Saccharomyces cerevisiae S288C: one gene and its partner. Changing the gene in region 1 together with any one later gene gives a genetic interaction. Each region holds a gene or a part of one and is shown on either strand. Other genes may lie near its edges.

What was found. A genetic interaction does not mean that the proteins touch.
Region 2: mutations in TRM82 (region 1) and DUS3 are lethal when combined (synthetic lethality), as found in Saccharomyces cerevisiae (one study listed by BioGRID).

The regions. Positions count from the first base shown.
Region 1 is NC_001136.10:783,087-786,705, reverse strand, and holds TRM82 (Trm82p), read right to left. Parts: upstream 1,836-3,619; coding exon 501-1,835; downstream 1-500. Other genes in the region: exocyst subunit SEC5, read left to right, coding at 1-400; SEC1 (Sec1p), read left to right, coding at 2,491-3,619. UniProt on the Saccharomyces cerevisiae protein: Required for the formation of N(7)-methylguanine at position 46 (m7G46) in tRNA, a modification required to maintain stability of tRNAs; its absence resulting in tRNA decay.
Region 2 is NC_001144.5:921,942-926,292, forward strand, and holds DUS3 (tRNA dihydrouridine synthase DUS3), read right to left. Parts: upstream 2,508-4,351; coding exon 501-2,507; downstream 1-500. Other genes in the region: zinc-coordinating transcription factor SFP1, read left to right, coding at 3,627-4,351.

The DNA of each region.
Region 1 (3,619 bases):
GTATACATCAAATTCATTCAGGGTTGGTGACTATATTATAGAAGCGTTAATGATTCTGATCGTGGTTCACAGTGAGTGCTTTAGAATTGGGCCTCAGCTCATCCATAAGATTTTAATTGAAACGCAGATTTTTATAGCCAGATACCTCTTTGAGGCATTTAAGCCTTATGTTGGTAATCTTTCTAATGATGGCTCATTACAAATTATAGTGGATTTGGAATTCTTTCAGAAGGTTATGGGTCCTTTACTTGAAAAGGACACCGAGGCCACATTAAGGGCGTGCTTACAAAACTGTTTCCAGAACGACACAAATAGACTACAAAAATGTATCAATGAGATTAATCCTATTGTATCTGCCAATTTAAAAAGAACTGCTATTCAATTCGCCGCCTTCAGCTAGAAACAGAGGTATAAAGATGTACTAACAATGATTATTAACACAAATCGGTACGTATCTTTTTTTATATTAGTTATAAAGATGTACTTACTACCTTTTTATTTCACGAGTAATGTTCTCCATGTTTTCTTAACGAGGAAACATTGTATAACGGGTAAATTTCTTCTTTCTTGGTCACCAAGTTAGAATCCCCTTGTACTGATTGTATGATGGCACTGTCAAATTCGTTTGATTTTTCATTATTCACGACAAAACTATTCTCATTTAAGTTATATTCAATGAATTTGGCAAAATTTTTTTGCACACCAGATGATTCCTTATTATCTAGGGTGACTTGGAATTCATCATTATGGGCGGATAATGAGATAACATTATATGGAAAAGTTATAATTTGCTTTAGTGCAAGATCCCCTTTTTGTTTTTCGGACATTTCCAGAATTATTATGCATTTTGTAGCTTCGACGAAAAACGCAACAAACGGTAGGTTCTTTGACTTTATAATTTTACTAACTGCAAATTCAATAATATCATTATTTTCATTTTGAAATCTTGGTGGTGCTAAATGCTGATCATTCAAATAAGGTTTAATCAAACTATTATAATCGAAGGTAGACAAGTTCTTACCAGTTTTCCAATCCCAAGCGAAGATTTTATCGTCACCACCTGCACTTAATAATAAATAGTCTTTGCCACAGCATATGGAAGAAACAAAATGCTTATGACCAAAGAGCCATTTGTCCACAATGAAACATTGGGGATAATGCGAAATTTTAATATGCTCATCTCTATCACTTGTAATTATGAATTGATGACCGTCAGAGTCTTTAATCAAGTGTACATCAGTCAACATAGAGACATGACCGAGAATAGGTTCTTGAGTAAACTTTTCTTCCGGGATAGAATTAATATCAATAGAATATACATCACCAAATTTGTCAGCTATTATGACTGTAGTATCATCTTCGGCTATAGAAATAGCATTCGGTCTCTTTGAGAAGCAGAACCTTTTTCTCAACTTTAAGACATTTTTGGAAGTTTTGTCGACATCGAAAACTAGGAGGGACTTGTCAGAATCTGCGCACGCAATTAGTCTTGATTCATCCGAAGTTAATCTCAGATTTCTTATGTACGAATATATCGGTGGGGCGCCAAGACCTGGAGATGGTACCTTGGCTGCTGTCCTTTTAATGGAATCGCCTTTATTACTTTTCAATTTTTTGTTCTCGTTTTCGTTTTCGCTGGATTGTCCTTGTTGCTCCTTAGCAGTGGTGTTTCTCGATTCTTGAATTTTGTCGAAATCATCAGACCATTTTCCAGCAAATTCCCAATGATTTGGCGATTGATATTTGAAGCTTAAGATACAATTCTTAATGATGGCGAAAACTAATGAGCCATCACGAGAGGTGAGTAAATTCTGCAAAGGATGAATGACGCTCATTGTAAAACACGCGGACTGCTTCAAATTGACAAACCTTGCTATACTTTAGCTGCTAATATATCATCAATACGCCTTTACTAGTAAAAAATTTTTTCATCTCATCGATTTTTTTCACCTCGCCATTTTTTTCGCTGATTAAAAGAAATGTATCTGAGATAAGTGCCATATTTAATGACAGCAGCGTAAAATAAGAATATGTAACGATACAATAAGAAAACTATGTTTATGTGTCACCTCTTGCTTGCGTCTTGGGAAAAGCATTCCCAATAACAGAATACTAAACCGGATGTAGTAGCCCTCTTAGTTTTTCTATCTAACATGTCCATCCTCCTGGATCAAAATATCAGTAATCTTGTATTCCTTACTTGCGATACAGCTATTATTACAGGCACTCTTTAAAAATCATCGAATAGCCGATCGACTACACACTTATCCCTATAACATGGTGTAAGTGATAGAGAGGTGAATGGCGGCGTCGTCTTATGTTCTCGCAATTATTGGTAGATGGTCACACAGCACGGTGTTTTTCTTTTGCTTAAACGATCAGTTTAAGTCCCTATTGAAACTAGTAAGACATTGCTTTGTAAGACCTTGAAAATAATTAGAATCCACTGACAAAGTAGAAGAGTGTGCACATGCTTGGTTTGGCGGAACGATGTCTGATTTAATTGAATTACAGAGGAACTATTTGATAGGGGTTTTGAATCAGATTGAGACGAAAAATAACTTGAAGTTTCTTATTATCGATAAAACTGTGGAGACAATATTGAGTTATCTTTTCCTCACACCCCAAGAACTTTTAAATAATGTCACATCTGTTGATTTGATTGATTCCCCAACAAGAAAAGGACAATCCTCCATCGAGGCAATTTACATATTGGAACCAACGAAATATAACATCAATTGTATCGATGCTGACTTCATGGTAAGACCACCTAAGTACAGAAGATGTCACATCAGATTTTTACCAGGATTAACAAACCCTATATTTCAGTTTTTTCAATCAAAACGTTACATTGCTCAAAATTTGGAGTCATTTAAGCCGATCGAACTAGGGTTTTTCGTCAAAGAATCTCAATTCTTCGAAACTTTACAAATGGAACACTCATTACAGGTTTTTTTCAACAACAACTGTAAGGCTTTGATTCCTACTAACGTGAGGAAGATTGTAGGCTCACTAGTTAGTTTGTGTGTTATTACGGGGGAATATCCGATTGTTAGATATTCTGTATCTAATCCTGTGGAAGAGGAAGATGCCCGCAATGGAAACGCCGTAGTCAACGCAAATTCTTTAACAAGGTCTATTGCAAACGCTTTCCAAATAGCGATAGATACATACGCTCGCAATAATCCAGATTTCCCTCCTCAAAACACTGAAAGACCGCGTTCCATTCTAATAATCACCGATAGAACACTGGACCCTTTTGCGCCAATATTACATGATTTTAGCTATCAAGCAATGGCTTATGACCTGGTAGCTAATGTGGACACACAAAAAGATATATATCATTATTCTGCCGAGAATGAAGCTGGTGAGCAAGAGGAAAAGGTTTCAAAATTGGTAGATTTGTATGATCCTGACTGGATTGATTTGAAACATCAGCATATTATGGATGCCAACGAATATATTCAAGGAAGAATCAAGGAACTGATTGCTAAAAACCCTCTGCTGGTTGATAGATCGAACGTAAAGAATACTACCGATCTGCTGAGTGTCGTAGCGCACCTGAAAGATTTTGATGAAGAAAGAAGAAGGCTGATTTTGCATAAGACACTGGTAGATG
Region 2 (4,351 bases), on another chromosome or scaffold:
ACTGCAGCGTAGGAATAAATATGCCAAAAGTGTAAATCCAAGCGCCTGATACAAAGTAGATGTTGAATTGTTTTAAAAGACTTACTCAAGTACCAGGAAGGAGCTATGTGAACGGGATGTAATGAACTTTCCAGACACCCCAGTTTGCGAAATGCCTTTTTTCAGAGGCGACTTGCGAGATTCAAATCACTGCGCGTTTTCTAAATCCACCTGTATTTACCTGCTATTTGAGCCACTCAGGTACAGTTGCATCAGGTTGATAGTTATGTTCATTTGTGTTGCGATGATAACCTGTCCGAACTCGTTAAGATTTTCTCAATACACTTTTCTCCGCTCCTACCTAACCCTTCCCAGCTGTGCTTATTTTGATTTTCTTGGAACCCATACCTCACGTTTGAAATTGACACCCGTACATATTCCAATTCTCGTCTTGCAAAGGAAAAATAACCGCGCTTACCCATCAGATATGATTTATGATACATGTACACTTGATTTTCTATTTAGGAATCTCTGTTTGCATAAGAGCTGCTCTTATGTTTGGGGACAAATACAAAGTTCTCGTCGGTTTTACCGAAAAATAGATCACTTAGCTTGATCCAATCATTAACATCCGTACTACCCATTAGAGTTTCAAGTTCGTCTCTTCCACACCAGTTTGGCGGTCTCTCATTCAACTTCACAGGGTATCTTTCACAAATACCCATGGGGACATACCTATGAAAAAAGGACATGAACTCGCAGAAGAATCTACGACATTGAGAAATGCCGTATTCGTCGGTGCCCCAGTGTTCCATAGAGAACTGCGCATAATCCCTTAAAATGTCTAATCTTTCCGTACTTGTCTTGTCTAGATACTGCTGCGACTCAACCTCTTCAAAAATCCATGGTTTGATCAGGGCCCCTCGAGCAACCATAACACTATCAATATTTTCATTTCCGTTCAAATAGCGGTACCAGTCTTCAAAATTGTTGACATCACCATTTCCGACAAATTGAATTCTGTTCTTGGAATCCCTGCCTTCTTTGCCTTGTTCGGTTTCGATGAAATCCGCTTCGGCGGATCTCAAGGTGTCAGCCACTTGACTCACGTAGTCCCAATCCGCAGACTTAGTGTACCTTTGTTGCCTAGACCTACCGTGTAAGGTAATCGCAGCCACATCAGTTTCGTTAACCAGTCTTTTGACTAACCCTTCCGCGATAGGATGACCTTCCTTTGTACCTGTTCTGATCTTCACCGTGATAGGAATATCTTTCGATACGTAGTTCATCGCGTTTAAACAACGAATCATTCTTGCAGGGTTATCCAGCAGGGCGCTACCAGAACCTTGTCTGTATAGCAAATCGATGGGGCAGCCAGAGTTTAAGTTGATTTCACTTATTTCACTGACGGAGTTTGCGAGTGCTTCTGCAGCCTTTGCCGCCTGCCAGGCTTTAGAACAGGCCACTTGAACCCCGAACCCGGGGAACTCTGATGTGTGAGCTTTAGGTAACGCCCACTCAGAATTAGTTCCTTGAATTAAGGGAACTGCCAAGGCCATTTCCGAATATGTCACATCTGCACCTAACTTTCTCATTAGACGACGGTATGGTAAATTGCCTACGGTTGTCAATGGCGACACGATTTTTTTGTGGTACAAATCCAGTGGCTTTTTTTCTTGAGCAAAATAACGAGTGTCCTTGTACTTCAAGTATACTTCACGCTGTTTCATTCTATGTTCTGACAATTCTTTGTTCCTCTGTTCGACTTGGGGGGCAACTGGTTGTTCCACATCTGGGTCTTGTTTCTTCAGCTGTGGCGTTGACTCAACTTCTTCTTCTGGCTTCATGGAATCTCTACATTCTTGTTGGAAAGAGTCGATGATTTCCAATATTTCATTACTTTTTGTGAAAGGAAATCTTCTTTTTATAAGATCGAGTTTTCTTTCCGGTGAGATATGGTTTACCTCACCTTTAACGGACCATATTGTTTGCGCATCTGGATCAATCTCCTTCTTCGATATTAGGATATTATCTTCTTTATTCAGATGAGACGATAAAAATCTGCATTTGAATCCCATGGGGCAAAATCCCAACGAGTTGAAGACCGGACAGGAAGGAAATATATTACTTTCAACTTCAGGCTTTTTTGTTGAAAGGTACAGATTGATATCGTGAACAAACCTACAGTTATCACCAAAGGAGCATTTAGATATATCGCCATGGATCAAGCGTGGGCACAAGACATTCTGTTCCTTGACCTGCCTGTTATCTCTATTCTTGTTTTGCCCACGCTTCTTACCTCTTCCGTTCTTATTTTTCTTATTAGTCCCACCTGCAAACTCGTTTGTCATTCTGTCGGAAGACATCTCTTCATCATAGATGGCGACCTTCTGGTTTTCATTCTGCTTCAATGGTACAATATATTCTGGTTTGATATGTGCAATACCTTTGGACGGGGAAGTGTCTTGTCTCTTCACGGTTGAGTTGTCGTCGCCAACAATAGAGCGTTTTTCAGCGTTTTGCTCCATCAATAATGTTTAGAAGTTGCCTTTTTTTCCTATTCTGAGTTCATTAATGTTTCATTACTGCTCATCTCATCACTACACATTCGAACTAAATTCTTCATAACTTTAACTAGATCTTATGAAACTTTTCAAAAATGGTGCACGGGCTTTCTGTATATTGAACTTTCCGTCGCTTTTCGGAGCTACAATTCCCCTACCCGGCTTGTCGGCATTAAGTCTCTTCATCCCGTGTACTATTACCCGACAGGTTTCTGCGGCATGTTCTGTGGAACGACGGTACGGGCGGTGACTGGGTGCCAAACAGTGCGGCGTTCCCGTGCGCAAGGTGGTCTGCGGTAGGAAAAAGAAACAAAACGCGCCTACGTCGTGCAAGGGGACAGGATTTTGTCAGTTACATAATAAGGAGCAATTTCGAATCAATTGAAATTTGGAACAAATGGGCGATGCATTCGTTAAAAGGCGATTTTGTATCAAATAACGTCACTATCAGCCATTGTCACTTGCCACTGTCGCCTGCCACCGCTATTGCCATTATCATTTGCTTTCGCATCGTCACCGATTTAAAGCTCTCTAGGCTAACGTACGCATTTTACCTCCCAGGCCCTATCTCTTTTCTACCTGTCATCCCTATATAACGTCTTGTACATTCTAGTGGCTCCGTTAACAAGGTTTGACAAATATTACAATCAAAGAAGGATAGCGCTAGTCAATCTAATCATTAAGTTCGCTTATAAAGAGAAGGAAAGCTAGATTTTTTTTCTACTTCAATTACATATCGGTGCTTCTCTCTGGTGGTTTTCTGTTTTTCTAATATTGATCGATTTTACGGTGAGTTAAACTACTTCCTTTTATCGCAATATCATATTTAGAGCGAGAAAGCAAGAAGAATAAAGCTAGGAGAAAAAAGCGCCACGATACATTCATACTAAGTTTATAATATACCGGTCGTCTTTTGGCTTTCTGATACCATATTATATCCTCGAAACACTTTCTCTGGATTCACCTACTATTAATCACCTCAAGATTTCACTTGTAAGGCGTTTTCAAATTTATTGTTATTAAAAGACATATTCATATTCAGTATTTTTATTTTTCTTCGAAACAGGAAAAGCTTATCTGAGTATGGATTTTACAACAATGACTATGGCAAGCAATATGGCTACTAGTACTACTACGACGGCTACATCGGCACATGCATCTATAAATTCGTCATCAAACTTTAATATTGATATTGATTCGAACCAGAATACTCCTTCCATTTTGATAAATAACAATTCGGATTCTTCTAATGGAAAAAACACAGATTTTAACGGCGTCAATAATATTCACCAAAAAAATATCATGAATAATACAAATAATGTTCATTTGTACTCTCCAAATATAATGGACCAAACGCTACTAACTCCACAGGACATTGCCAAGTTACGGAGAGAATCAATAGCCCATTCTCAAGGGATGGGTGGTGTTTCATGGGGATCCATTAGTGTTGGTTCTTGGTTAAGAGATGAAATTATTAGCCGTAGAAATAGTATTGTACCTGCATCAGCAAACGGTGCTGCCTCCGCTGCCGCTTCTGCAACCACTACTGCCACTAATACTTTGCAGATTCAACAACCAACTAAGAGACCCTCTGTTAGTAATCCGCCTTACCATAGAGGGTATTCTATTTCTCCTCAGATAGCCTACACTGCTTATCTGCCAAATCTAGAAAAGCAATATTGTAAAGATTATTCATGCTGTGGTCTTTCCTTACCAGGTTTGCATGATTTGCTGAGACATTACGAAGAAGCTCATATATCCACGTCTCCTAACACTACCAATATGTCACAAATACCGATGAACTCTGC